Alligator mississippiensis: one gene and its partners. The protein of the gene in region 2 purifies or fractionates together with the protein of the main gene of each other region. This does not show direct contact. Links are inferred from orthologs where the notes say so. Each region holds a gene or a part of one and is shown on either strand. Other genes may lie near its edges.

What was found. Proteins that work in one complex are often made in the same cells at the same time.
Region 1: the proteins of DIS3L (region 2) and EXOSC4 purify together in Homo sapiens (affinity purification with mass spectrometry; 5 studies listed by BioGRID and IntAct, with this or other methods). This does not show direct contact. The link is inferred for Alligator mississippiensis from reciprocal best matches to the Homo sapiens genes DIS3L and EXOSC4.
Region 3: the proteins of DIS3L (region 2) and EXOSC2 purify together in Homo sapiens (affinity purification with mass spectrometry; 5 studies listed by BioGRID and IntAct, with this or other methods). This does not show direct contact. The link is inferred for Alligator mississippiensis from reciprocal best matches to the Homo sapiens genes DIS3L and EXOSC2.
Region 4: the proteins of DIS3L (region 2) and EXOSC6 purify together in Homo sapiens (affinity purification with mass spectrometry; 3 studies listed by BioGRID and IntAct, with this or other methods). This does not show direct contact. The link is inferred for Alligator mississippiensis from reciprocal best matches to the Homo sapiens genes DIS3L and EXOSC6.

Annotation. Positions count from the first base shown.
Region 1 is NC_081826.1:912,569-918,901, reverse strand, and holds EXOSC4 (exosome complex component RRP41), read right to left. Parts: upstream 2,065-6,333; 5' UTR 2,016-2,064; coding exon 1,845-2,015; intron 1,512-1,844; coding exon 1,305-1,511; intron 1,213-1,304; coding exon 853-1,212; 3' UTR 501-852; downstream 1-500. Other genes in the region: OPLAH (5-oxoprolinase), read left to right, coding at 2,304-2,477, 3,160-3,351, 5,268-5,382, 5,502-5,625, 5,784-5,979, 6,182-6,333. UniProt on the Homo sapiens protein: Non-catalytic component of the RNA exosome complex which has 3'->5' exoribonuclease activity and participates in a multitude of cellular RNA processing and degradation events.
Region 2 is NC_081834.1:5,034,357-5,041,679, forward strand, and holds the start of DIS3L (DIS3-like exonuclease 1), read right to left. Parts: upstream 3,007-7,323; 5' UTR 2,936-3,006; coding exon 2,806-2,935; intron 1-2,805. UniProt on the Homo sapiens protein: Catalytic component of the RNA exosome complex which has 3'->5' exoribonuclease activity and participates in a multitude of cellular RNA processing and degradation events.
Region 3 is NC_081835.1:59,318,649-59,325,815, reverse strand, and holds the start of EXOSC2 (exosome complex component RRP4), read right to left. Parts: upstream 3,001-7,167; 5' UTR 2,986-3,000; coding exon 2,753-2,985; intron 2,430-2,752; coding exon 2,328-2,429; intron 997-2,327; coding exon 951-996; intron 1-950. Other genes in the region: PRDM12 (PR domain zinc finger protein 12), read right to left, coding at 6,595-6,977. UniProt on the Homo sapiens protein: Non-catalytic component of the RNA exosome complex which has 3'->5' exoribonuclease activity and participates in a multitude of cellular RNA processing and degradation events.
Region 4 is NC_081833.1:34,962,384-34,969,756, reverse strand, and holds EXOSC6 (exosome complex component MTR3), read left to right. Parts: upstream 1-4,840; 5' UTR 4,841-4,956; coding exon 4,957-5,817; 3' UTR 5,818-6,873; downstream 6,874-7,373. Other genes in the region: AARS1 (alanine--tRNA ligase, cytoplasmic), read left to right, coding at 107-226, 932-1,018, 3,122-3,235, 3,624-3,809. UniProt on the Homo sapiens protein: Non-catalytic component of the RNA exosome complex which has 3'->5' exoribonuclease activity and participates in a multitude of cellular RNA processing and degradation events.

The DNA of each region.
Region 1 (6,333 bases), on a different chromosome or scaffold from region 2:
GCAGACCGAGCAGTCGAGCGCCGAGCGGCCCCGCGCCCCCCCGCGGCAGTGCGCATGCGCGCGGCTGCCGGCAGGGGGCTGCACGCACCACCAGGGGGAGCTGCGCGGGCCGGATGACATCATGCACGCCCATTCCCCGGCTCCCAGCCGCTCCCCTCGCCCGGGGCACTGCGGGGCCTCCCCCCGCGACCCCAGCCCAGCCTTGCGGGGCGCGAGAGTCCCCCTCCACGCCCAGGACCCTCAGAGCCCCATGCTCCCCAGGCCAGGGAGGCCTGCACTTGCACACTGGGCAGGCGGCACAGCTCTAGGGACAGGTTCAGGAGTGATGCTGGAGCCCCCAGGCACGGCCGGGCTGGTCCAGGCAGGTGCTCACTCAGCCCAGGCCGTGCACAGCGAGGCCGGATCGAGAGGGACCAGCAGCACCCGGGCTGGGTGTCCCCATTTCCCTGTGGCCCCCCAGCCTTCCCCGCCGTGCACAGGAAAGAAGAAACAGCCACAAGTTGCACCAAAATAACACTTTATTCAGAGCTGCTTGTCCAAAACAACACCCACTCCTACCAGGGGACTGGCCTGGGCTCCCGGCACGGCCCATGAGCCACAGTAGCCCCCCGCCCAGGGTGCAGGCCCTGCAGGCAGGCACCTCCCGCCAAGGCCCAAAACGCAGGCCGTGCCAGAGCGCAGCGGTGGTGCCCGTCGCCCAGCGAGGGGCACCGGGGTCCGTCTCCACGCGGCGAGGGGACACATCCCAGTGCTGGCCCAGCGTCCCCGGGGCTGAGGGAAGGGCCCGTGCCCAGGAGGCAGCAGTCAACCCCCACAGGCCTGGAGGCAGGTCAGTGCCCCCCCCCCGGGCGCTCACTCCCCCAGCAGCGTGGCGACTTCCCGCACGTGGTCGCGCACCACCTGGTCCAGCACTGCGTGCACGGCCCGGCAGGCCGCGGTGGCGGCGTCCAGGACGCACTCCAGGTGGTCCTCGTGGAGCCGCGCGTTCATCTCCAGCAGCGCGATCTGGTCCGACTTGGGCAGCAGGGCCAGGGCCACCTGCGGGCCCCCGGCCGCCTCCTCCACGTAGTTGAGGTCGGCCAGGGCCGTGTCCTCCACGAAGCCGGCCGAGCTGGCGCACACGTAGTCCTGCATGGGGATGCCGGCGTCGATGACGGCCAGCGTGGCCGCGTTCACGCAGGCGCAGTAGTTCCCGCCGTCTGCCTGCAGGATCTGGGGGGGGAGAGCACAGTGGGTGGGCCCGGCTGCACGGCGCAGAGCCCGGCCCCCCGCCGGGAAACCTCCCATCCCGCGCCCGCGCACACCTGCACGTAGATGTCGATCTGCGAGCGGGGGTAGAGCTGGGTGAGGATGGCGGCCTCGAAGGTCTGCTTGAGGTGCAGCGTCATCTCGCTGGACTTGCGGTCGCCGTGGGGCCGGCGCTTGCGCTCGCCCGTGCTGAAGGTGGCCATGCTGTACTGGCAGTTCACCAGCGCCCGGTCGTGCAGCGCTTTGCTGCGGGAGCCGCGCATCTGCGGGGACGACGGGGTCACGGGCCGGACCCCCCCAAGCTCTGCCCAGGGGTGGGGGGAAGGCCGCCCGTGGTTGGGTGCACAGAGATGCAGGGGCTGCTGCATGGGGGGGGGGGGGGCGCTCCCAGTAAAGCCCCTGGATGGCCTGGCCCTAGTGCCTCCCACCCCTCAGGCTAACCAGGAGCATCACCCTGGGGGGGCAAGGGAGGGGGCAGGACCCCTGGGGCCCCTCCCCGCCCCAGGAGAGGGTCTGATGGGGGGCAGGACCCCTGGGACCTCCCCGCCGTGGGGGGTGTGATGGGACAGGACCCCCGGGGGGTCGGGGGGGCCCACCTCGTGCGGGCCGTAGACCACGGCGAGCGCCTTGGTGTTGCCCTGCTCGATGTAGGCCGAGCCGTCGGCCCGCGCGAAGACGCCCATGCGGGCGCGCAGCTTGCGCAGCTCCCCGGCGCGCCGCCCGTCCGCGCGGAAGCCCTGCTCCGACAGCAGCTCCAGCCCCGCCATCGGCCCGGCCTGCCCCGCGCACTACGCTTCCCGGCCTGCCCCGCGCCGCCCCGCGCACTACGCTTCCCGGCCTGCCCCGCGCCGCCCCCGCGCACTACGCCTCCCGGCCTGCCTCGCGCGCGCGGCGTTGAGCGGGAAGGAGGGACGCTCCCGGCGTGCCCCGCGGCGGCTGCACGTGTGGCGGCCGCGCCCCCTTCGCAGGCCCCGCCCCCCGCGCAGGCCCCGCCCCCGGCGCGAGGCGCGGGGCCGGGCGCTGTGGGGACCGGGACGGTGCGGGCGGTGCTCGCCATGTCCGCGCCGCGCGCCGCCGGGTTCCAGTTCGCCATCGACCGCGGCGGCACCTTCACCGACGTGCTGGCCCGGGGCCCCGCCGGCCGCGTCCGCGCCCTCAAGCTGCTCTCGCAGGACCCGGGCCGCTACCGCGACGCGCCCACCGAGGGCATCCGCCGCCTGCTGCAGGAGGTGGGCGGCGCGGCGCGGCGCGGAGCGGCGGGCGGGAGCAGCAGACAGGACCCGGGGGCAGCCGTGCCACAACGGTCCCCCCCCCCCCGTGCGTGCAAGCCGGGCGCTCGGAGGCTGCGGAGTGTTGCCCCCCCCCCCCGTGTGCGACGGGCTTTGGCGGGGCGGGGCGGGGCGGGGGGGCAGGGTCCCCGGGGGTCTCGTCCAGCCCGGGGCAGGGCAGGGCAGGGCAGGGCGGGGCGGCCCCCGCGCAGCTGCTCCCCTGACGGGGCGAGTTGCTGCAGCCCCTGCGCCGTGGGGGGGGCGTGGTGCTCTCTGCCACGCTCGCTGTCGGGACGGGCGTGAGCCCCAGAGACAACAGGCTCAGCTCGTGCCTCCCCGCGACCCCCCGTCCCTGCTCCTGCGGCCGCTCCGCATCCTCGTCCAGGTGTCCCATCTCCTTGCGCTGCTGCGGCCCCAGGGGTCCGGCCCCCGGGAAGGTGTTGGTGCAGCTCCTTGGGGCGCGACCTGCTCCCTCCTGTCCGTGCCTCAGTTTCCCCATCTGCAGCATCAGGGCCGAGGTGCTGGCGCTGATGGCTCCCGCGGGGGCAGGAGCGAGTTTGCCCGCGGGCACCAGGCGCTGTGAAAGCGGGGGGCTGCGGGGACTGGCGTGGCCGTGATTTGCTCCCCTCCTCCCCCCACGCAGGAGTGCGGCGTGCCCTTCCCACGAGACCAGCCCCTGGACACGTCGCGCATCGAGTGGATCCGCATGGGCACGACCGTGGCCACCAACGCGCTGCTGGAGCGCAAGGGCGAGCGCATCGCCCTGCTCATCACCAGGGGCTTCCGTGACCTGCTGCACATCGGCAACCAGGCCCGGCCCTGCATCTTCGACCTGGTGAGTCCCAGCCGCACCGGCGGCACCATGCCGCGGCCCGCACCTGCATACGGAGGTAGGAGACCTGGGGAAGGATGCTGAGGGGCTCGGACGAGCTTCCCTAGGAGGAGAGTCACGAGGCCAGGTCTGGCAGTCTGGAGAAGAGACGCCAGGGGGGGCAGGAGCAGGATTTACGACGCGCTCAGCGGGGAAGAGGGAAGTCAGTAACAAATCCCAGGGACCGTCTCCGTCCCCGACAGGAGTGAGGGTCACGCGTGGGCTGAGCAGGCGGAGGTTTAACACCAGCTCAGGGAGGTCTTTCCCCTCCCAGCGCAGCATTAAATGGGGGGCTCGTGGCCCCAGGGGTGGTGGGAGCCAAGACTTCAGCCACGCTCACCAGGGCTCGGACACGTGCGTGGAGGAAAGGGGCATCGATGGGTGGCTCTGGGGCAGGGAGCGAGGGGCACGGTCTCTGCATCGCCCTGCCTGGAGCTCAGTGCTGGGGGCTGCAGGGAGAGGAACGGGGGAAAACCCTGCTCAGCTCCGGTCGCTCTCCGTCCAGCTCCGCTCCCTGCCCCGTGGGACACAGGAGACAGGCAGGATGGACTGGGTCTGCCCCAGGCTGGGGCAGCTCTGGTGTTCTTGTGACTGCTCCCCCTGCCCCCGGGCTCCCTGTGGGTCTGTTGCAGCTTCCGTGGCCTCGCGCGGGACTGCAGGTGCCTCTGGAATCGGCGCATGGCGCAGCGTCGGTTTGAATCCCCCGTGGAGGCCCTGTCCCCCCTCCCCGAGCCCCATTCCTGGGCAGGCAGGTGGGGTAGGAGCAGGGGGGGGCAGGCATGGCCCTGCCTTTGTGCCACGGCTCATAGCTCAAGTGCGAGGTGTCGCAGCCGTCTGGGCGCCCTCGTGGACCCGGCACGTGAATCCCTAGGGCACTGGCCTCGCCCCGTGGGGAGCAGGAGCCGCAGGCTGGCCCCTGCGCGCTCAGCCGGAGCAAACGCCCTTGGGAACCGGCCTCGGAGGGGTTGGTGCCGGGAAGGAGCTGGCACCGGATTCCACTGCTAATCCCGGGGCCCCTGTGCCTGCCTCCCTTTATTTGCACTTGGCCGGTGACACGGCCACGTGGCTGCAGCTGCTTTGTCCTGGCCAGGCTCTGCCCTGAGGGTTTCCACCTCCCTCTCGCTCCCTGGGGCTTCTGGATGCCCTGCCTGAGCCTCTTCCCCCTCCCCTAGTGCCCTGGGAAGGAGCTGGAGTCTCCCCCCAAGCCCTTTGTCTCCAGACCCTCTGCAGATGCTGCGCTGCTGGACTCCCTGGAGTCTGATGGGGCCGGCGAGTGGGGTTGGTCATTCCCTTGGTCCCTGGGACGTAGCTGGACCTGGTGCTCTCGTGATCTGGGCTTGTGCTGTGGGGGGCAGTAGCCCAAAGCAAGACACTGCAGAGGGTTTGGGGGGCAGGGGTCACCCTGAGAGAGCCCAGTGTGGTGGTGGCCTCAGAGCCTGCAGCCTGAGAGCTGAGCCCGGCGGGTCGGTGTCAGGCTGTGCCTCAGACGTCCTGCACGGCCTTGGCAAGTCCCACAGCCGTTCCCAGGGCTCATGCTGGTGCAGTGACTCTGGCCTGTCAGCGGCTGAGCTGACAGTCTCAGTCCAGAAGCTGGGGAATGTGGGGGGAGCCACCCCCAAATTACCCTGAAACAGGAGAGCTCACAAGATGGTGGGGATTGTATGTCTGGGGGGAGTGAGCACCCCAGGCTGGTCCTGGCACTGGGTGAGAGCAGGGGACCCCAGCCTGGGCTTGGGCCCTGGCAGCTGGGAGGGGGGCAGGCCCTAGTGGAGGGGCCAGCAGGGCAGTGTTGGGGGGCAGCCCTCTGTGCATGGCTGGTCAGTGAGCTGTGCTGGGGTGGGCAGTGACCGTGTCCTGTCCTGCCCCCATGTCGTGCCCAGGCGGTGACGGTGCCCGAGGTGCTGTACGAAGAGGTGATCGAGGTGGATGAGCGCTTGATCCCGCACCGTGCCGACTGCCGGCTCCCCGGGGCTGACACGAGTCAGCGCCTCCAAGGTGGGTCCCCAGGGTTGGTTTGGGTGGGAGCAGGCAGGCTGGGCCAAGGCAAGGGTGTTGGGGAAGGCAGTCTTTGGTGTACGAATGGGCCCCTCTGACCTGGCTCCTGCCCACTCCAGGCTCCACGGGGGATGTCCTGGTGGTGCAGCAGCCCCTGGACCTGGCCAAATTGCGGACGGAGCTACAGGGGCTGCTGGCTCGGGGCATCCAGAGCCTGGCTGTGGTGCTGCTACACTCCTATGCGTGAGTCCCTGCGGCGTGGGCACTTGGGGTGGGCAGCGACAGTTTGGGAAGGAGCACAGGGAGCTAGGGCCGTGCCTGTGCCCCGACCTGCATGCCTCTCCATGGCAGCAGGATGGGTGCTGGGGCTGCCTTGCCCACCTCCCTGCTGCCTCTGGCAGGTGCCCAGCCCACGAGCAGCAGGTGGGTGTGCTGGCCCAGGAGCTGGGCTTCCAGCACGTGTCACTATCCTCGGAGGTAATGCCCATGGTGCGAGTGGTGCCTCGCGGATACACAGCCTGTGCCGACGCCTACCTCACTCCCTGCATCCAGCGCTACCTCCACAGCTTCCGCGCCGGCTTTGTCCGGCAGCTCCAGGTGAGTACAGCTCACCACAGCACCTCAGAGCTGCACAGCGCTCCTCGCCCTTGCCTTCCTATGTGGCTGGACCAGTCTGCCCCATTCTGTGCTCCTTGGCCCTGTTCCACATGACCCGGCACCTGCTATAGACTCCTGCCCCCCCGTGCTGGGGCACCCCCGCAGCTCCCCGACCCCAGCTGCTCCCTGGCTGCCCCAACAGGACGTCCCAGTTCTCTTCATGCGCTCCGACGGGGGCCTGACTCCCATGGACCAGTTCAGCGGCTCCCGTGCCATCCTGTCTGGCCCGGCTGGCGGCGTTGTGGGCTACGCCATGACCACCTATAGCCACGAGGACAGGCAGCCCGTGATTGG
Region 2 (7,323 bases):
CTATTGTGGAAAAAAATTGAAAAAAAGATTTGACACAAAATCTCCTATGGATTTATGCAATGGGGCGTATTCTTTCCAGGAATTGCTCCCACAGATGTTGTTACCAGCCAATAACCCACTTGCTGCTGGCAGGCTTGCCTAGAGCCCTTTCCCCATATTAATAACATGCACATAAGCATACACATTTGGAAAAAAAACACTTTGCCAAAATGGGAAAGTTTTCAAATCTAATTCATCCTAAAGGAAGGTGTCACATGTATTCGGCTGGACTTAACCATCTAAAATGTTGGAAAAAACAGAGCAGAAATCAGAAAATGTACCCAAGCATGAATTGTTTTAATTTTATTGGCATTCCAAGTAACCTCAGCATAAGCAGCTTTTTCTTTGGGTCTCAGCTATGTTTTTCCTCTGTATCCATTTGTTCCTAATGCCATTATTAGCATTTAATCATTACACGCACAGCAGTCTAGGTGGATTATATTTATGCTATACATATCTTGACAAGTTAAGTGACTTTCATAGGTTTCCTAGGAACCAATTCAATGCAATGTGTCTTGTTAACAGTGATCCTTGTAAGTTATTTAGTCACTGAGGCCAGTCCTGCTTACAGTGACATGGCAACAACTACCGTTGAACTCGGTATTAAAACTGATGGCCGAAGAGATATAATAAAGCTAATCTTTCAGCAACAGATTGGAAGGCAAATTCTCTGAAAAGTGAAATGTCACTTCAAGGTTTATATAGGCTGTGCATGTTAAGCCATCCTTACCTAACATCCAGACCTAGATTACACTAACTTCTGAGTAGGCACAGGATGCCATTTAAAAATATCTGTATGCATGATTTATGCAGACAAGCTCTCCTAGTGCATGAAATATGTTTGCTCAGCACAGCATGTTGAGTCAGGAACAAAAACAAATGTCTGCCTTCCTCCTGAATTACCTAGAACAATTACATACAGGCACATACTGACATTGATCTATAGCACAATTTACGCTGAAGTCAGGAGGAAGGGAATCAGACATGAGAGAGGACAGCATTTGGTTTTGAGACTGTAATGTGACTCTTAATCTCTGGGGGTCCATAAGCAGTTGCTCATACATCTCTACAGCCACCAGGCTTCCCAGGGAATGCTAAGCATAACCTTGCCCAACATGTTAGGCAACAAATATGCATCTACTGAGCCTCCATCTCATTAGCTGGCCAAAAATATAAAAAAGAGGTTTGTTCCGAAATGTAGTGGATCTAGGCAAACAATTTAGAAAACACTTTTTATAGGCAGGGTGAGAAACTCAACTGAAAAATCATTATTCTTTTTGTCCTGAACCTGTTGTATCTGCTATGTTAATCACCTAGTATTGTTAATATGTTGCTGCAAAGAAATTAGTGGATTAACCCCCACCCCACACACAAAAACACTAAAAAAAGGTCAACTGAAGATAATCTATTGTGTACATCATAGCACTGTGCTATACAAAACAACATCAAACTAGAAATCACAGGAGCTGGCAGTCTTCCCACATCTAAGATTGTCAGGTATAATACGGATAATTAAATTTAATTACTGAACAAAAACTGCTGCTCCTGCAGATTCAAAAAAGTTTCAATGTTAACCACTCAGCCACGTTACAAGTATACTTAATGGATATCTATAGGATTTAACTCGTGATACAATCTTGCCAAAATTTATATTTAAAAAAAAAAAAATCCTTTTAAACAGGGTGTAGTATGTAGTGGCTTGCCACATAACACTCAGAAAGTCCTTTAACAACGTATTGTGGTCCCTATATGCACACAAGCCATTTACAGGAAAGCCTCGCAACAACCGCCTTCCCTTTCCAAGTCTCTCCTTTTCCTGTTTTTTTCTTTTTAAACCCTGCCCTCGGTTATTTGTGCGCGTTTCTGGTTTGGAAGCAGGGTTGTTGGCTGTCGCCGTGTCAGTCTAAGGACGTGGGCAGACAAGGGTCTTTGGGTAGGTGCAATATAAAGAGGTGGAAAAATGTTCTTTGCAAGCTTTCCAGCACAAAGGCCCTTCTTCAGGCCTCGGAGGCTCTGCAGGCGTTACGCGCGGCACACGACACCAGCAGAGCCTGTTTCGGAAGGGCATTTTGTTACGCACTCGCTTCTCTTGGCCCTCCGAACATTTCCTGCTGCTGCGTTTGTGTTGTTTCACAGCACCTCCCAAAACGCTTCACCTGCGACAGCGCGGCCTGTTCTGCTGGACAGGCTGGAGGCCCCTCCGAAACCGCCCGCTCTTCATTTTCACTTTTTTTTTTACTTGACTACAGAAAAATAACCGGTTTTTTTCCCCGTGGCCAAAACGCTTCGTCTATGGCAGCGGGGCCTGACCCTTTCAGACTTCCGCTGGACGGGCTGGGACCTCGCCGAAACCGCCCGCTCTTCATTTTCACCTTTTGTTGGACTACAGGAAAATAACCGTTTTTTCCGCCGTTGTTATATAACAACTTTGACGGACCACGGGGGCAGGTTTCCCTTTGGTGTCGGTGGTGGTGCTGCCGGCGGTGTTGGCGATCACGGACTGCCCACAGACGCTGCCAGCTGTGTCACGATCGCGGACCACCCGCGGACGCTGCCAGTGTCGTGATCCTGGACCACCCGCATAGGCTGCCGGCACCTTTCCCCCCCACACTCGGGGTCCACCTGCACGTGTGTGCACCCCTCCGCGTCGCCAACGCGCTTCACGCGTGCTGCCAACGCCACGGGGCGGTGGCGCGGCACCCGTCACCACAGACCACCCCGAGGCCTAACGGTGCCCCGGCCCGGCCCCGCGCGCCGCCCCCTCACCGCGGGCGCAGGCGGCCCGGCACAGGGCGCTGCGGCAGGGCACGTCGGGGCGCAGGTAGTGCTCCCGCACGACGCGCACCGCCCGGCCCGGCGGCCCCCGCAGCTGCACCACCTTCTCAGCGCGCTGCATGGCGCCGGCTCCACCCGCTGCCCGGCGTGGGGGGGGCTGACATGGCGGCCGGGGCGGGCCGGGCCAGGCCCGGGGCGGAGCTGCGGCTCCGGCGCCGGGACTCGCCGCCTCGGGACAGCGGCGCTGGTATTTTTCCTACGGAGAAACAAACAACAAAACAACCACAAAGAAGTGGAAGCGAGGGGCGAGTTGTGCCCGGCTCAAAATGGCGGCGCCGCGTCCTGTCAGCGAGGGGAGGCTGCTATTGCCCTGCGGGCCTGCGGTTGTGCATCCGCGGGTCCTTCTTTCCAACACCATCTGGACCCACTAAAAGCGTGAATGGCACCTCCTGAAGAGGGAGGATGTCGTTAGCTAGGCGTATAGACGAATTCCTGTGGAAAATAATGTCCGGCCTCAAGTACGGAGCCCTACATGAGGGACGGATGCAGACGGGATGATGGGGCAAAGACTTCTCCGCCTGCCCCACGCTTCCCGTCCCAAAGAGTCCTGCCCAGCCCGAAGCACGGCATGGAGGATGGTCCGGTTGTCCTCTGTGGATACGAGACCCGCCGTCTCGATGTCCTCAGTTTGTCTCTTGAAGAGAAAAATGAAATGCAGGCTGTCCTCGCCTGACAATGTTTTGCACTTAAATGGACGCCCGGTTTCAACTTTACGATGTTTCATCTGATGCAACAAGTTGGCTGCGTCTCCCTGGAGAACACCTGTCCACGCTTCCTGGGATGCTTTCTTTAAGAAAGCAGACGAAGAAAGCCAGAAAACCCTGCAGCCGGGACGTCTGAGAAGACTCCAGCCAGGAGTCCTTCAAAAAGTCCAGCCGAGAGCCCTTCAAAACGTCACCTCAAAGAAGTCCTTCCAAATCAATGTGATCGCTATTTACAATATAAATACATTCATGTAGCTATATTACTCATCTATAGTTGATCAAGTACAAAAATCTGGGGTATTTTTGGTGAAAACAGGGTATCGGGCCTTGGTTCAGGAACCAACCCCCCATTTATAACATTGTTTCTTATGAGAAGATTGGTTCCGAGTTGCAACATTTCGATGTTAAGACACGGTTTACAGGAACCAATTGTGTTGCAAGTCCGAGGACTGCCTGTACGGTGTACAGAAAGCAAGCCACGGAGACGTGGTGTGGGGAGACATGGTGTGGGGTGGCCCAAAAAGGAGGCCACCCCACATGGTGAAGAGAAAACTAGAGGACATACAGGCGTCGAGTTTCGTGTCAATAGCAGAAAACAGAAATGTCCTCTACGACGGCCATGAATGCCACGTGCCCCCGGAGGCTGGGGGGGCAAGGTGAGCTCGATGGCAATGTTGACGACACTTTTTCATATAGACATTCAGGCTGGAAGGGACCCCGGAGGGTCATCACGTCCAGCCCCCATAGATTTCATAGACATTCGATAGATTCATAGACATTTTTGCAGGGGGTGCACTGCCAATCTCAGGGGATGCACATGCACCCCTTACGCATCGCCAATGATGATGGCCACCCTACGGTTTGGCCGTGCCAGGCTGCCAACTGACAGCCCCCAGGCTAAGTATAACAGCTTGAATAAGGACCTGGCGCTTGGGCTGAGATTATGATTGGAAATCCTTTTTTGGGCCACCCCACTCCCTGTTTCTGTGGCTCCGGGGGACTCTTCTGGACATCTGTGGCCAGGGTCTTGCCCAGCCCAAAGCACAGTTTGTGCATGCGCCGCTGCCGACTAGCAGTGCCCCATAGCCATGAGGCTGAAGTTGGTTACTCATTAAATTCTCTCTCTTTAGGATGTGTAATTCATTAACAATAAGCTTGTATTGGGTACAGATTCGCTTTAAAAAAGGAACTGGGAATAAGGAATGGGGAATAAGCAACCAACTTCAGCCTCATCCTTTGGGGTGCCTTGAGATCCTTTCAAGCGTGCCATGGGGCACCACACTGTTGGGTGTGCAAACATGACTCGCAAGATAAACGCAGAGATTTCATGTAGGACTCCATAGTGTTAAAAGCATTCTGCCCTGCTGCGGTCTTTCCGAGCTCTTTGCAACAGAAGAATCACTCTAGTATTTTTCTGTAGAGAAAAAAAAATGAAAATGAAGGGTTGGCATTTTCCAAGGGGTGCCTTAAGTCAAAAAAAGGGTCTTAAGGAAATACGAAGGATACCAACGGGTGAGTTGTCCCCTACTCCAAATGGCAGTCATCTCCTGCTTCTGTCAGGGAGGGAAGCAGAGGAGATGGCCACTGTTTTCCTAGAAGCTATGCCCAGGGTGGCGGCTGGTTCTTGCTTTCCCATGAGAGTGAGGCCATGCCTGCAAGGAAAATGATGGCCACTCTGTTTACAGAGCGCTCTTGGGACACAAGGACTGTGAAGCGCATGGAGCCCCAGTGAAAGGGGTCAACGGAAGAAGAGGGGGAGCAGAGCTGGGGCCAGGGTGATGCGGGGAAAAGAAGAAGACAGCGAGGGTCAGAGCAGATTTTGGAACAGGATGGAAACTGCAGGGAGAGTGGAAAGGACTGGACTCCTTGGGGTATGATGAAAAAGTAGAGTAGATGGGGAAGATACTTTTTCCTACTGTGTGTTTTAAGTCTAAGGATTGAGTCATTTACACTCATGCTTTGGAGGCAAGTGGCCTTCCCCTGGAACTTAAATCACAAAGCAAACCCCCACCATCAATTACAGAGAAATAGCATGATGTTGGGAACAAGGGGGAGCAGGGGGGTTGTCTCATGGAGTGCACCGGGTTGGCAATATGGTGCAGAGAACATAAATATCAATAGAGCCGCTTTTCCTAAACTGCAGGTTGCCAACCCCCAAAGGAGCTGTGCGGGGGAAGAGGTGTCAGATAGCGTAATTGATAGAGATTTAAAGGAGGAAAATTTTCCATATTTTTACAATAAAGAGAAGCCCAGCTCCCTAATTATATGATCCCTCTCTTCCTTTCTAGAAAATGAGCACGTATTATTGTCACCCTATGGGGGCACGTGGATCGAGTGCTTCTTATCAGATGGACAGTCATACTGAAAGAAGAGCGGGGTGATACAAATGCCATGAGCTGGAATTCTTTATTTCCCAAAGTACAACTCTGCTACAAATGTTAACAACAAACCCAGCTATGCTTGCTTTCTGTACAGTGTATTTTATTAGCAGTGGAAAGTGCTAATCTCATAATCAACACTGGAGAGAAATGCAAATTAATGATGAATTGCAATTCAGAGTAGAATTTAAAAAAATGTGCATTTATTGTCCTTCAGTGTCCAAGTTTCCCTCCTGATCGAATGCAGCTCAGTTCATTCATTTTTTCATCTTCCTCTATAACTAGGGGTCTACTTGCAGTGAGACAAAGCAATTTTTGTGGCTTGATCATAGCATGAAGAGCTGATTTCACAGACATCTTCCAGTGGCTCCACCCCTCACCAGTGATTGGCAGAGAGGTAGATACTGTATAATTTAATAGCCGATTCTGTGGAAGGTAAATTATATCATAGAATTTATCATATTTTTATAAATCTAAATATTACATTTAAATACACATTTAAATATATTGTAAATATAAATTTTACATACAATATAAATTGTAACTTATATCATCATGATTTATTATATGTAGCGTTCTACAAAAAGTTTAGAATACTAATTAATGTTACCTTACTAGAAACAGCTTCACTTCACTGACTGGCGCCTTCACTTCATCTATCTCACTAGCAAATAGTAACTCAATCATGATCCATGGCTGCAGTGATTGTTGCATTGTCGTTGTATTGTGGTAAGCATTGGGACATTCTAAAACAGCGTATTACATGAATAATATGCCGGGGGGGGGTGTTAAGTTTAATTTGTGGGAAATCACGGCCAACGCAGTATTTCCTGGCGATTGTGGACAATGTCATTTTTTTCAGTTTCCACAAAAACTGCCAAACCACATATTAAGTAGATCCCTATCTATAACCTTGTTATAGTGAAAATGCTCAGGGAAAGTTACAAATATTTGGACAGTTAGATAGGAAAAAGTATGGGAATCCCAGTGATAAACCATTTGTAGACACGTATAAGATAGGTCAAAGTCAGGCACAGGGACAGAAACCATTAAGTTGGTGTTAATATACTGATGATTCTCTGGTTATTATTATTCAGCACTAATTGTTGATCCCTGAATTATTAAGAGTAATATAGTAGTTTACCTGGTTAATGAGCTATAAATTAAGCTTAACAAAATCCCTAACCTAAGAACTCTTACATATGCCTCTGCAGCAACATGCATAATGAATTCTTCAGGTCAGATCAATGTAAATGGTCACAAGGATCAAAGAAAAATCTCCAGAATCCTGTCCCTCTGCTATCTGATTTTCAGGCGAGGGATTTAACAGTAATACCTAGCTCTTAGAGCTCTTTTCTTCAGCAGAT
Region 3 (7,167 bases), on a different chromosome or scaffold from region 2:
GAACAAAACTAGTGCCCTTCACTTATGGTGGGAGTGCCTGATTCATGTTAGGGCATAACGCCCTGCCAGTTCCAATATGCTATTTACAGCGTAACAAACTGATCATCAGTGTAAGAGCTAAGTGCTTAAATACCCTTTCAGCGCTACTGCCTACTTCGTAAATTACCTGTGCTTTCTAACTGCCCCAGAGACAGAGGAAGGGAAGCTGCTGTCAAAGGGCTGCTATTTTAAGCCTTGAAAATAAAGCAGATAGCTGGTTTCGTGGCTACTGTTGCCCCTCCTTTTCAAGGCTTTTAATAGCAGTCCTGAAACTATCAGACTTGGAAATGAAAAGAGCCTGCCAGTTTCAGGGCTGCTAATGCCACGGCACTGAGAGCTGCTGTGTGCTGCTGAGCACTGATCAGCTCCAATACAATTCCAGGTAAGACTTTTTCAGTCTCAAGGCTATTCTCTTAAACTCAGTACACTCTAAACCCACCTCCTACGCCCCAGAAAGAGTATTCCTGGGGGAGCAGATGTAGCACCCAAAGCTACTTGTCATCTCTGGCTTTTAAATCACTGGTTATATTAAGAACTTCCTAGTAACCAAGGAGGCCAGTGCTGTCCTGGTTTCAATGACGCGTCATGCTTTGCTCAAGGTCTCTCAGCAGCACAACCTGGAACCAAACTCAGGGGTTTAGGCCATGCCAGTACAGCTACGGGCTGAGCTTCCACAGCCTTTATGGCCAGACCGTAAAAGATCTGATTGCTTAAGTTGCTGGGTGCACCTTGGATCAGACACCCAGCCACAAATGACAGTCTGGTGGTTATCTTCCCCCTTGGCTAGGGTTGTGCCCAGGAGCACATCTGATTTATAACATGTAGGATAAGGGTAACTGGGACAATATTGTGTATCAGAGAAATCAAGTCATTCATACAAAACAATGACTAGAAACCTCTGGGCACTTTACCTCTGTGATTCTCCCAACCACGATGTCGCCAACTTCACCGTTATACCTGGGCGCAAGAAAAAAGGGAAACTGTTCACACTGGATGCAGAAACCCCTCTCAATTCAGATCCCCTTATCACTACCACGGTAATTAAACACAAGCAGGGCTGAGCTAGCACAGGTCCCAACAGCACAACCTGCTTCAACTCTAGCACAGTGCCCCAATACAGAGGCTTTTTTCCAGCAAGTTTTAACTGAGCTCAGCAGAGGTGTAAATGAATTAAATTTGCTGGGCTCTGCTACCTGAGAGGTCAGAGCGGACAATCGTGAGGTCCCTCCAGGTTTTAACAGTGACAAGCAATGTGGGGCCTGATATCACGAGGATCAGAATAGGATGCAATTTAATAAAGATAAGTGCAAAGTGCTGCACCTGGGGAGAAAGAATCACCAATACGCCTCCAGACTGGGAAGTACCATTCTAAGTATCACAGCAACGGAAAGGGATCTCGGAGTCATAGTCAACACAAAAATGAATACGAGTCGCCAATGTGACGAGGTAATAAGTAAGGCTAACTGCACTGTCTTGCATGAGCAGGTGCAAGCAGGTCTAGGGAGGCGATACGTCCCTTCTATGCGGCATTGGTGAGGCCACAGCTCGAGTACTGTGTCCAGTTTTGGGTGCCGCACTTCAAGAGGGATGTAGATAATCTGGAAAGGGTTCGGAGGAGGGCTACTCATATGGCTGAGGGCCTGCAGGTAAGATCCTACAAAGACAGACTGAGGAACCTGAATCTCCTCAGCCTCGCAAGAGAAGGCTGAGAGGTGATCTTGTGGCTGTCTATAAGCTCATCGGGGGGGCGGGGCGGCAGGGAATAGGGGATGCTGTGTTTACCAGGGCGCCCCTCGGGGTTACCAGAAACAACGGCCACAAACCGTAAAGGAGCAGATTTAGGTTGGACATCAGGGAAAAAATCTTTACGGTGAGGGTTGCCAAAATATGGAATGGGCTTCCCAGGGAGGTGGTGCTTCCCCTACCTTGGAGGCGTTTAAAAGGAGAGTAGACAAGCACCTGGCTGGGGTCACTTGACCCCAGCGCTTCTTCCTGCCCAGAGCAGGGGATCGGACTCGATGAGCTAACAGGTCCCTTCCAACCCTAGAAACCTATGAAATCACCTCTCTGGTTATGGTAGTTGGATGTAGCTGGCAAACGTGATCGCATCCAGTTTAGCAACCTTCGCCCTACCGGTTTCCGCTGCAGGGCGCACGCAGAGACCCATCCCACCCCCACCTCCAGCACCCTTCAGGGGGAAGGGGGAGACCCGTCCCACCCCACAGCGATACCCGGGCTCCGGGTGGGTCCAGCCAACACCTCGTGCGTCCTCGACCGACGGCGCTCACCTGGTTTTCAGGGCTTTGACACAGATCAGCTTGTTCACTCGCTCCACCGCACCCGCCACGGACGCCACCAGCTTCTCCTCGCCCATGTAGGTGCCGTGGCCCCTGCCGAGGAGAGAGCAGGTGACGCAGGGGGCCAGGAAGGCTCCCCCCACTCCAACATGAAGCAGGCTGGGGTGGACCCCTGCCAAGGGGGTCCCACGCGTGAGCAATGGGGTGGAGGTGGTAGGGCAGGGGGTAACCCAGGGACCCCCCCACACTGGTGCGAGCTGGGGGCCACCTGGCAAAGCAGCAGCTCTGCAGAAAAGGACCTGGGGTTACAGCAGACACGAGGTACCCCCCAGGGCAGCAGCAGAGGCCCCATCCCATGCACCCCCCCTCCCCAAAAAAATACCCCAGAGGACATTAGGAAGCCTGCCCCTCCCCACCTCATGTAGCCCGTGTCCGTGGTGATCGTGTCCCCCGGCGCCACCAGGTCCCTCCCGCTGCCCCGCGCCAAGTCCTGGCCCACCAGCTTGCGGGCCACGGGCAGCCGGACCTCCATAGCCGCCATTCCGACTCCTGGCGGCGCGGCAGCTTCAGGCCCCTTGGGCTCCACGGGTTTCCCGCCGCCATGCCAACTGCTGGCAAGAGCACGTGTGCGGGCTCCCCGCGTCGCCATCTTGGGGAAGGGCGGAGCGGGCGCAGGGAAGCCATGTTGGATCCGGGCAAGGAGGGCGGAACGGCCTTCAGTGCGTTGGGTGTTGAGGGAAGGCGAGAGGGTGGGTCCATCTTTAGTGCTGGCAGGAGCTGGAAGAGCTCTGGTGCCCCCCAGTGCTGGCTGTGGGGAGCTCCCCGGGGGAGGTCACAGAGATGCTCCAGCTTTGCCCCCAGGGGCAGGGGGCTCACAGGGGCAAAGCTGGCTCAGGCTCCCCCTTGCAAGGGGAGAGCCTTGCAGGGAGGGAAAGTGTCCAATCCCACCAGGAAAAAACTGGGGCAAGCACATAAGAGCCAGCCCCTCGCCCAGCCCGCTGCCATTGCCCTGCTTGGTCCTCATCTCCAGCCAGTGCATTTACTCCTCCAGCGCAGGACGGTTCGGACAGGCCTCAGGCAGGCGCTCGGACTAGATGTGGCCTCTGGAGGTCGCTCCCGGCCCGACTCCTCTACGAGCCTATGAATAAGCAAGAAAGCATCCGGCCCTCGTGCGCCCGACGGGACAGGGCTCTCACGCTGTCCTGCATGAGGCTGGGTCCCTTGGGAGAGCCTGCAGGCATCGTCCTGCCTGCCGGATGGTGAGCACCGTGCACCACAGCTGCATAACGCTCGGGTTGAGGAGGCACCGAAACACCCTCTGCATGTCTGATCCAAAAGGTTAAGCTGCTCCGGACATAAAAAGCCTGGCCTAGATCCTCCCACCGGGCCAACAGGCTCTGCGCAAGCCTGCGCTAGCGTTCGCCAGGCCTGCGCTGTGTTATAACGATGGGCATGTGGTTGTAAAGGCAAGTGCTGGCCAGAAGGAAATGGGAAATGGGCGCCGTCCAGTGCACTTCTGTGTTAAGGACCTGTTTGCTGTGACTGAAAACCTGAGGCTTGACGCCTTTCGTTTGCACAGGTGCTGGTGCACACGTGAGCATTGGGGGGGTGTACATGTGTGCAAATGATTTTCCTCCTATTCCAAAGACCACTCTCTTTCAAGATGCAAGGATCATCCTAGACAAACGGCAGGTCAGGACTGATCAGTGCTTTGTCTTAACTGTGCAGTGCAGTAGGGTCAGAGAGAGCAGGGTCAGCGGCATTTTTGATCATTAGGTCTGACCTCGTGCATTGCACGGGCAAGGGCTCGCCTTCAAGGGACTGCTGCACCTTGTGGCTGACGGTGTCTTTTAGGAAGGCATCCAATCTTGCTTGACCCCAAGCAGCAGCAAATCTCCTGCTTCCCATAGCAAGCTGTTTTAATGGTTTGACCCCCAAGCAGCAGCAAATCTCCCCTGCCCTTAGCAAGCTGTTCTGCTAGCTAAGGATACACGGGTGGGAACTTTTGTTCACTTCACTCCAACACAGTGAAGAGGCATAAAGGACGTAAAAAGGGAGTAAAAAGCAAGGTAGAAAAAGGAAAAGGGAAGTAAAAAGGCAAGAAAAGAAAGTAAAAAAAGGAAAAGGGAAGTAAAAAGGAGAAAAAGGAAGGTAAAAAAAGGAAAAGGGAAGTAAAAAGGCAAGAAAAGAAAGAAAAAAAGGAAAAAGGAAGTAAAAAGGAAAAAAAGAAAAAGGAAATAAGGCAAGAAAAGAAAGTAAAAAAAAGGAAAAAGGAAGTAAAAAGGAGAAAAAGGAAGATAAAAAAAGGAAAAGGGAAGTAAAAAGGCAAGAAAAGAAAGTAAAAAAAGGAAAAGGGAAGTAAAAAGGAAAAAGGAAGGTAAAAAAAGGAAAAGGGAAGTAAAAAGGCAAGAAAAGAAAGTAAAAAAAGGAAAAAGGAAGTAAAAAGGAGAAAAAGAAAGGTAGAAAAAGGAAAAAATAAAAAGGCAATAAAAGAAAGTAGAAAAAGGAAGTGAAAAAGGAAAGTGGGAAAAGGAAGTAAAAAGGCGAAATAAGGAAAAAAAAGACAAAAGGAAGTAAAAAGGAGAAAAATCCAAGGACCCCCTTCTCGTCGCTTCCCTGTGCCAAAGCCAGCATCAGGCTGTCCTAAAATACAGCAAGGAAGAAAAGTGCCTAACGATTCACCATCTAAATGGTAAATGTTCCAAGTAATTTTTATTTAGAATACAAGAGAGAGCGTGGTACAAAGGTATTTACAGCTGTGTACATATACAATCAAATAATATATAATATCAAAGTTTTGTAAATAATGTTTTACATAAATATGTACAAAGTTAAAGTGACAGTTGTTTTCTGGAAGTAAAACACAGTTTGTGAAAACTCTATACATCTCATACTTAGAATTAATATTATAATAGCTTCTCTTCCACGTTATTTTACAAATCCCCCTCTTTGCCTGGGTTCGTGACTGCGGCAGGCCTCCAGGAGGCGCTTCAGACTGCGTTCGGGTTGGGACTTGCCCAAAGGATGGGTTTCTCTCTGGTCTCCAGAGGGCAGTGGAGGGAACAGTTTCAATGGTCCCTAAGGAAAAGAAGGGTCTGCTGAAGGACCAGCGTGGAGGGGTGGGGAAGAGCTGAGGAGCTGAAGGAGAAGCAAGACCAGGCGTGTGTGTGCAGATGAAGGGCTTGCACCCTGGGCAAGGGGAGCCGTGCCCGCTGGAGGTGCCTCCACCCGAAAACATCCCATGTGGGAGCTGCACCAGTGCTCTTGGCAAAACACAGGCGTTGCATTTCCTGAGAGCACTGCTGGGCAAATCTTTTACCAAGGGACTGGCGCTGCACCTGCCTGGGCAGACCCTCAGCCCTGGGCACCGTCTGCCTGATTTCACATGTGCAGAGTTGACTGGAAAAGCTGGGGGCATGATTCTGGAGGCTGGGTTGAAGTCTCTGGGAAGGTTTCCCACCCCCCAGACACAGCAGAGCATCCCCGGCGGCGCTGACCTGGCAGGGGGACGTTCTAGCTTGCCTGGCAGGAGGCACAAATCAGTCCTCGCTGCAGAGCCTCGGTGGAAAGGAAGCTGCCCAGCATTGCTCATGCTGGAACTGGGGTTCTCCAGTGTGGGCACAGCGTTAAGGCCAAAGCTATCACGTGTTGAAGCAGGTACGGCTGCAAGAACCCCAGCAGAACCGTGCCAGCTCGGGCGATGGGAGTGGGGCCTCCTGTTAGCATTGTCTTGAGTGGAGGGGAAGGAAAGGAAATGGGAATTTTTCTTCCCTTCCTCCCACTGCATGAATTCAAAACCTGGAGGGGGGTGGGGAACCCAGAAACCTGCCTTTTGACTCTACCCACCCACTTCTGCTCCAAGTCTCAGTCCTCAACATATTAACCCTGCCACACTCCTCTGTGCCACTCGCTGCCTAATGGGCAACAAAGAGAGCCCCCAAGCCTCCTCCTTGTCCGGAGACTTAGCTCCCTCTGCCCAGGAGAGACCAGTGAGAGGAGACGTGCTGATGGGACCAAGGGGCTGGGGTGATTTTGTCCCAGTGACACATCACACGGAAGCCACACGAAAAGAGCAATGCTTCAAGGGAGGGGCCCCTCCATCAGCACGCAGCGTCACCAGCACGCCCGCCCTGCCCCTGCTCTCCCCACTGCCAGCCCTGCCCCCAAGGGCTGATGCCAAACAGCTCATCGACAACCCCTCCGTACCAGTCTCCGGCAGCTGGCAAGAGCTGCCCCAAACCTGGCCATCAGCGGGGGCTCACAGCACCATGGTGGGTATGTGATGGGCCAAGGAGGCCGGGTGGGGCACGGGTAAGGCCGGGGAGTGCGACTGCAGGGAGGCATTGGGGGGCCGGTGCCTGGCACTCTTCTGGTGGGCCCGGAGCCCGGCGAGCTGGGAGTAGGCACTTTGGCAGACCTGGCATTTGTAGGGGCGCTCGCCGGTGTGCAGGCGGACGTGGTTGCGGAGGGTGGAGGACTGGCTGAAGCGCCGGTTGCAGAAGCGGCAGACGAAGGGCTTGTCCAGCGTGTGGATGCGCATGTGGGAGCGCAAGTTGCTGCGGGAGTTGAAGCCGCGGTGGCAGATCACACAGCGCATGCGCCCCGTCGTGCTGGCCCCGCTGTCCACCGCGTGGAAGTCCTCTGCGTGACAAAGCACACGCCGCAGGGGTCAGTTGCCACCCTCGGCCCTGGAAGCCCCAGGGACCCCTGAGCCTGAGCCACTCGCTCCCCTCCTTGTGCCTTGATGACGTGGCCTCTACATGTGGGGTGAATCAATCACCGAGAAGCACCTGTCACATCAGCGCCATGCTGCTCCTGCTCTCCAAGGAGC
Region 4 (7,373 bases), on a different chromosome or scaffold from region 2:
TGCAAGTCAAGTGCCTTTGATTTTAAAATGAATTTATTAGGATAATGTAGGGTAGCCTCCGGTTGTAGTGGACTGAAGCTGTAATCTCCTCTCTCTTTGCTTCCAGACACTGGCTACTGCCATTATCCCACAGTGGCAGAAGGATGAGCTGAGAGAGGCTCTCAAAGTTTTGAAGAAGGTCATGGATGACCTGGATCGTGCAAGCAAAGCAGATATTCAGAAACGGGTGAGCCCTCGGGATGAATGATTAGGGGCCAGGATAGCTCTGTAGTGAATCTTGCAGACATCAAAGCATGGGTTTTGCTTCCCACACCCAACCTAAATAAATAGGTGCTTCTCTTTGCTCCGCAGAGCTATCCTTTCTGTTTGAAATCTCTTTTAATCCTCTTCCCTTCCTACTACATCTCAGCAACTACATTGAGGTACCAACCCCACGATAGCAATAATGGTGTTTTTAATAGACCCACCAAAGTGCTGCTGAGCAAATAGACTGTCCTTCTGAAATTTGGCAGTTCTTTTGTTGGTTGGAAGAGTGAGTGATTTGTGTTTAGTGCTTGGATAGTGCTCCTGGCCCAAAATTGATACCTGCACACAGACTATGGCAAGATGTTTGTCAGATGCAGGTGAACGGGCTGGTTGCTGCTGTTCCTGACTCAAGTTGGTGACTATTGGGAAGGGGTACGCAGCAGTGCTGCCTCCTTTCAAATCTCACGTGCTGCATCATGTTCTTCCACACTTTGTTCCTGCTTTGGCAGCCTGGGCCTTCCCCTTTGGGTCCATATCAGCTGTACAGAATGGTCAGTGATCAGTGACTAGAAGTTGGTGCAGGTTAGCTGTTGCACCTCTTTCAGTTTGCCTGGTGAGCCCTTGTGTGCAAAAAACAGTTTTTGTGTCTGTTCACATCTGTCTGAACATCTGCTTGTTCTTCCAGGTGCTGGAGAAGACCAAGCAGTTCATTGACAGTCACCCTAACCAGCCACTTGTAATTCTGGAAATGGAGAGTGGCGCTTCAGCAAAGGTAACACAGCTAGTCCCAATACTCTCCATTCCCGTGTCTAGGACTCCCTGAGAAAGTTCAGAAACCTGCCTCTCCGTTTGTGGCCCCTGGAATGGAGGGGGGATTTTCACAGCCTCATGTATTACAGAGCCTGCTGTGCAGGTGCCCAACCATGGCCAGGGCTTTGAGATGGTCGTGGAGGGCATAATTAGTTCATGTTAGGTCTGTGCACTTTTTCTGCTGGCTTAACCAAAGCCACCTCCTACCCGGAAGTGTGCAACACCTCTGTTTGTCCCTCAGACTCTCTTCTTCACCATCTCAGATTCTAGTGTCTGGATCAGGATGGGGATCCCTGCTTCAAGTAAGGGCCACCCAAGTGGGTGGCTAGGAATTAGAAGATGAGGGAAAATGCAGGCTGAAAATGTTTCTAACAGTGGGGCCTGCAGGGTAGTTACCCAAGAAAAGCAATGAAGCTCTGTCAGCTGGGATATTGCAGAGAAATGCAGTGTATCTTGCACTGGCTCCCATACAGCAGCTAGGTAGAGCCTTGAATGAGTGCTAGAAAAGTGTTGTCCTCCAGCTCCCATTTCTTGGATTCTGCAACCCATCCAGCTGGGCTTGTCACAGACCAGTGCTGTCCCTACCCTTCTGTCTCGCATCATGAGCTGAATCTGTCTATTCTTGTCAAGGTGGAAGGGGGGGTTTCCTACCCCCTAGAGAAGCTTGTTGTGGGTAAACCCCCTTGTTTGCTGGTCCCAGCAGTGATGAGCTGCTGCCAGGCAACAATAGGAAATGAACAGTGTCAATTAATGATACTGTAGACTAACCATCAAGTTGTAATGCCCCAATTTAAATTTCTGCATGGGCAAACTCCCAGCTGATCCTGTTTTGTTTATAGGCTCCCACTCACCCTCTTACATGGTTCTCATCTCCATGGTATCTAAATGCTGTTCATGTCTGTGTGGGAGGGGAAAATTGCTATTTTGTTTTGGGGACCATTACTGCAGTTGGTACAGATGCTGCATCTTCAGTGTTCCCAGCAGCAGGCCCAGCAGCATCTCTGCATTGAGCTGTTGGCACATTCTTTGCGCAGTAGCCAATTGCCTGCACCTCTAAGGGATGACAGCAGCGCACAGCATGTGGATTGCAACAGTGGGCTGCGTGACCCCTGGGGACTGCAGCAGCCAGCTGTACAGGTGGAGCCGTGAATATGTCCCCTAAGAGGCATCATCAAATGACCTCTAATTAGCCTGTCTCAGGAGCTCTCTAAATACAGCAGGTCTTTCTATGTGAGATATGAAGTGTCAAATCTTTTGCAAATAGTGGGTGCCTGGCACTCAAGGACTTGCCTATACCTAGTCCATTAGTCTAGGTGTGCTGTGGGAAAGACTTTTGTATCCTTGTAGCATTTGCACTCTGACCTCCATCCCTGCTGACTCCAGCTGCTCTTAAGTAGAGAGTAGCAGCAGGCACAGCAGAGTTTCCAGGTCTCCCAGAATGGGTTGCCCTTTACCTCAGTCCAGCAGCCTGCTAAGGAAAGGCTCACACCACCTCTGTCCTAAGCTGCTGTCCCTTCCCCTTCCTAATGTATCACTTGCTTGCAGATCATTTTCACTTGCTTTATGGTTGCAGAGCCATACATTTGTTGGCCCCCAAACAACCCAAGATGGGAAACAAATCAGGCACTGAGCATTCTCCTGCTCCAGTCCTGCTGCTGGACAGGGAACATGAGTGAAGCTAGGGAGCCATGTCTCTATGTGACTTCAGAAGCTCAGATCTCCAGGCATTGAGTCTGGTGTGACCAGGCAAGCAAGCTGCTTCTGCTCTTCCTCTGATGCCAGCTCCACAGCCAGCCTCAAGAAGGGTACATGCAGCTTTACTGCACCCAACAGAAACCAAGCACTGCAGAGATGCAGACTGCTGCAAAAGCGAGGTACAGAAGATACTGACTCAGAATGCCTGCCTGGGAGTAGAGTGTGTTTGCTGATATCAGCAGGACTGTTGTAGCTATCTAGCAGCAAAGGAATCTGTGTAGGGATTTGCAGCATGTGTTGCCAGGCCAGCTGAAAGATGAATGATGCCGGCTGGTTCTTGGTGTAATTTTCTCTGTATCTCCTTCTACAGGCCTTGAATGAATCTCTGAAGCTATTCAAGACTCATTCTCCTCAGACTGCTGCCATGCTTTTCGCAGTAGATAATGAAGCTGGCAAGATCACCTGCTTATGCCAAGTACCTCAGGTAACACTTTTCCAGAGCCCTTTGGGTGTGTCTGCCCAAAGCATTTCAGGCTGAGCTTAAGAGCTCTTCCTAGCAGTAGGACCTGCAGATTTCCTGTACAGCTTATGCTCAGGCAGTCAGCAATGGGGCTTCCATGTGTCCTCTGTCTCTCATTATCACGTCTAACTGGGATACTGGTAGTAGTTGTTGCATTAGCGTAGCTGTGTCTCAGCTAAATTACATTTGGAGCCATACAAGAAAGCAAGTTAAGTACTGTACTGCCAAGGAGGTAGAGCTTTGTTCTTCCATCAGATACAGTTACTTGAAGTAGTGTTCATCTAGGCATCTTCCTCCAGCAGCAAATGCTGTTGTGTTGTAATAACCTAAACCCTGCCCTCTTCTTTTCCAGGAAGCAGCCAACAAGGGCCTGAAGGCCAACCAGTGGGTGCAGGAAGTGTCAACACTGATGGATGGCAAAGGTGGTGGGAAAGATGTCTCAGCCCAGGCAACAGGCAAAAATGTTGGGTGCCTGCAGGAGGTTCTGAAGCTGGCCACGGACTTTGCTGAGCTCTGCCTTGGCGAGCTGAAGAACTGATTCCATGTCCCTGTGCTGGCTCGTTGCACAGGTAAGAAGCGAATGCTGTCAGCTCTCTCCTTTTCTCATCAGCCTGGTCACCGGGCTCCCATTCACTCTAGCGACATCGCTGGAGACAAAGACGCTGCACATCATTCCTTCTGAATCCCCTCGCTGAGGCATTAACAAACTAAAAGAAGCATCATGGGTTAGAGATCTAAACAAGGAAGAGAGAGAGACAGGGGCTTAGAAGTTGTAATGCCAGCTCCAATCTTGTTGTATGTCTGGGAAGCCTGTTCCTTGTCTGTAAAGTGAGGATAATGCTGGCCTCTCTGCAAGGCCTGCAGTAAGGATTGCACTAGCAGTTTGTAAAGTCTTCAGAGCACTGTTATGATGTGCTAAATATTAGTAATAAATACTGTCAGCCACAGAACGCATCAAAGCCAAGAGTCTGCACACAAACTCCTGTCCCCTTGTAACCACTGGAGGCAGGAGCCCACCTCTGGAAAGTTGCTGGAATCAACCTGTCACCCAACTCCCTGACCTCTCTGTAGATAACATGGAAGCCCTTTACTCACTTTATTGACAACAGTAATAGTGTATTTAAATTAATGTGATGTAGGTGTACCTCACTGCCTTAGCTGAGCAGACCTACCTGTATGGGAACATGAGGAATAGGTTCAGTGTTAATAAAGGCCATCTGCAATGTGTGCCCTGTTAATTTGTCATTGAACCAGGCCAGGGTTTGCAGTTTTGTTAGGGTGGAAGAAGTGGGGGTGTGCTGGGAAGGCAGATGTTCAGTCTGTGGTTAGAGGGGGTTATGGCTTTGCCAAGAATGGGACTGTGCGCCCTGCGGCGCCGTGGGTCTAACAGGTGCTTCCCCTGGAGGGGCGCGGGGCCGCCCGTCGCTGCAGGGGAGCAGCGGGCGAGGGCGCAGGCCGGGGCCGGTCGGGCCCCGCTCCCCGCCATGCTCGCTCGCTCCGCGGGGCCAGGGTCGGGGCCGGGCTGGGGGCGGAGCGCCCTGAGCGCGGGGCCGGGCGCTGAGTGGCTGGAGCCGCGCTGGGGGCGGGGCGCGCAGGCCAGGCCCCGGCCGCGCTCCGGGCCTGCAGGGGGCGCTCCGTGTAGGCGGGTGAGCGGCTGGGCCTATCGGGATCGGGTGGCCGGGGCCATGCCGCTGGACCACCGGCGCGTGCCGGGCCCGGAGGAGTCGCAGTCGCCGCTGCTGTACGCGGCCGAGGAGCCGGAGCCGGAGGAGGCCGAGGAGGCGGCGGGGCCGGGCCGGGACCCGGCGGCGCCGCGGCCGCTGTTCGCGCGCGCGGGGCTGCTGAGCCAGGCCAAGGGCTCGGCCTACGTGGAGCTGCGCGGCGGCACCAAGGTGCTGTGCGCCGTGTACGGCCCGCGGGAGGCGGGCGGCGCGGAGCCGGCGGCGCGGGGGCGGCTGCTCTGCGACTTCCGCCGAGCGCCCTTCTCCCGGCGCGGCGCGCGCCTGCGGCCCGGCCCGGCGGCGGGCGGGCGAGACCGGGAGCTGGCGCTGGCGCTGCGCGAGGCGCTGGAGCCGGCCGTGCGCCTGGGCCGCTACCCGCGCGCGCAGCTGGAGGTGGCGGCGCTGCTGCTGCAGGACGGCGGCTCCGCGCTCGCCGCCGCCGTCAGTGCTGCCGCCCTGGCCCTGGCCGACGCGGGCGTGGAGATGCACGACCTGGTGGTGGCCTGCGCGCTCAGCCGGCCGCCCGCCCCCTCCGCCGCCGACCCGCCCGCCTGGCGCCTGCAGCCCAGCGAGCGCGAGGAGCGCGACGCCGCCGCCCGCCTCACCGTGGCGCTGCTGCCCGCCCTCGACCAGGTGTCGGCGCTGCTGGGCGGCGGCCAGGGCGGCGCGCCCGAGAGCTGGGCCCAGGCGGTGCGCCTCGGCCTCGACGGCTGCCGCCGCCTCTACCCGCTGCTGCGGCACTGCCTGCTCCGCGCCGCCCGCCGCCGGGCCCGCAGCGCCGCCGGGGGCGGGGGCAGCCACAGCCCGCCCGCAGCCACCGCCTGAGGGCGCACCCCGCGCCGGCGCCTGGAGCCCACGTCGGTGACGACGGGGACAGACCGTGCGGGAAGGCGCCGGCCCTGCGTGTTGCAGCCCGAGGCCCACCCGGTACCAGGACTTGGCACAGACCCCGCCTTCCCAGCCACCCCTGCCCGCACCGGACGCCATTCGTCTCGCAGCTGCCTGTGCCCCTGCATGGGTTTTCAAGCATGTTTGGCCCCGAATGGTTCCTGCCCCTCTTCATGCCTGTTGCAGTCCAGGAGATGCCCTGGAGAATGGCAGACTTTCTTTGCTGGTGTTTCCACTTGAAGTTCAAAGCGGCGCCATCTTTTTGTTGGTAGGAGTCCACTGCATTCAGTAGTCTGGTGCCAACTCGCATTCAACATGTGCTGTGGCTTCCCTGGTCTTAAATTTTAAAGGGAACTCTTTAGCTGGTTGCTGGAGAACAAGTAGTGCTGTCTGGTCAGCAGAAAATCTGTTTGGTTACATGATGTCAAATGTTTCTTTTCTACAATTTTTCTTGTAACTTTTGATTGGACCTTCGCTCTTCCCCAGACAATTGTATTTCTTTCCTGAAAATTGTGTTTTTGGCTCTGAAATTTGTGGAAGTCAAACTGGCGGACGCTACTGTGATTTTGCTCATTTTTTATAATCAAGGACTGACTGCTCTCCCTCTCTGGCTGCAGTTCTTGCTAGTATTGGTTCTTTGCTTATTAATTCCACATTGGCCATACCAATGAACAAGACAGCTCAGTTAATTATCCTTACAGGAATTATTAACAAGATCCTTTGTGTTGAATATGCTTTCATTGTGACCTTTTGGCCCTTGGACACATGTTAACGTGGAGCTGTGTTACTGATGGACTGGACTGGATGATGGTTTGGCTGTTGAGTTTAGACTTTGTAACTAAAACTTGAGCACCAGGTAGCACCGTATCTTGGCAAAATGCTGTTCATGAATAAGATATTTGTATGCCCCCACCCAAGAGAATGTATCCAGGTAATATCTTGAGAGAGATATTTTTTTAATATAATAAATTGTACTTTTTACTGTGAACTTTACCTCATTCTGGCTGTGATCTGTTTTTGAGTCTTAAGTCACCTGTTCCTATTCGGTAAGTCTTTTGGTGGGAATATTTCAGTGAAATCAAGGCCTTTGGAAAGTCCCTGATCACCAGCATTTCAGGCTAAAATGTCCTTCCTTACTCACACTTCTGGTGTAGTTCAGATGGCAGTTTGTGTCACTTCCCATTTATTTGCAGCCTTGAAGCACAGGGATCACTCTGTTTGGTTTGTATACTAACCTCTGCTTAGTGTTGTAGATACCTCTCTGCATTTGGATCTGGATTGAGAGCAACAAATTTCATCTTGGCTATGAAACGGCAGGTTTGAACAGCTTATGATTAGGGACCTACCTAATTCACAGTGGTTGCCTCCAAATTCACTGTCCCAGCAAGACATCGGGTGCCATTTTTGTGGTGGGGGGCACACCTCTGATTGGCTAAATGGCACTTGAAGTCCCACCCCTCCCCAAAAATTGATGGGTGGTCCCAAACGGGCTT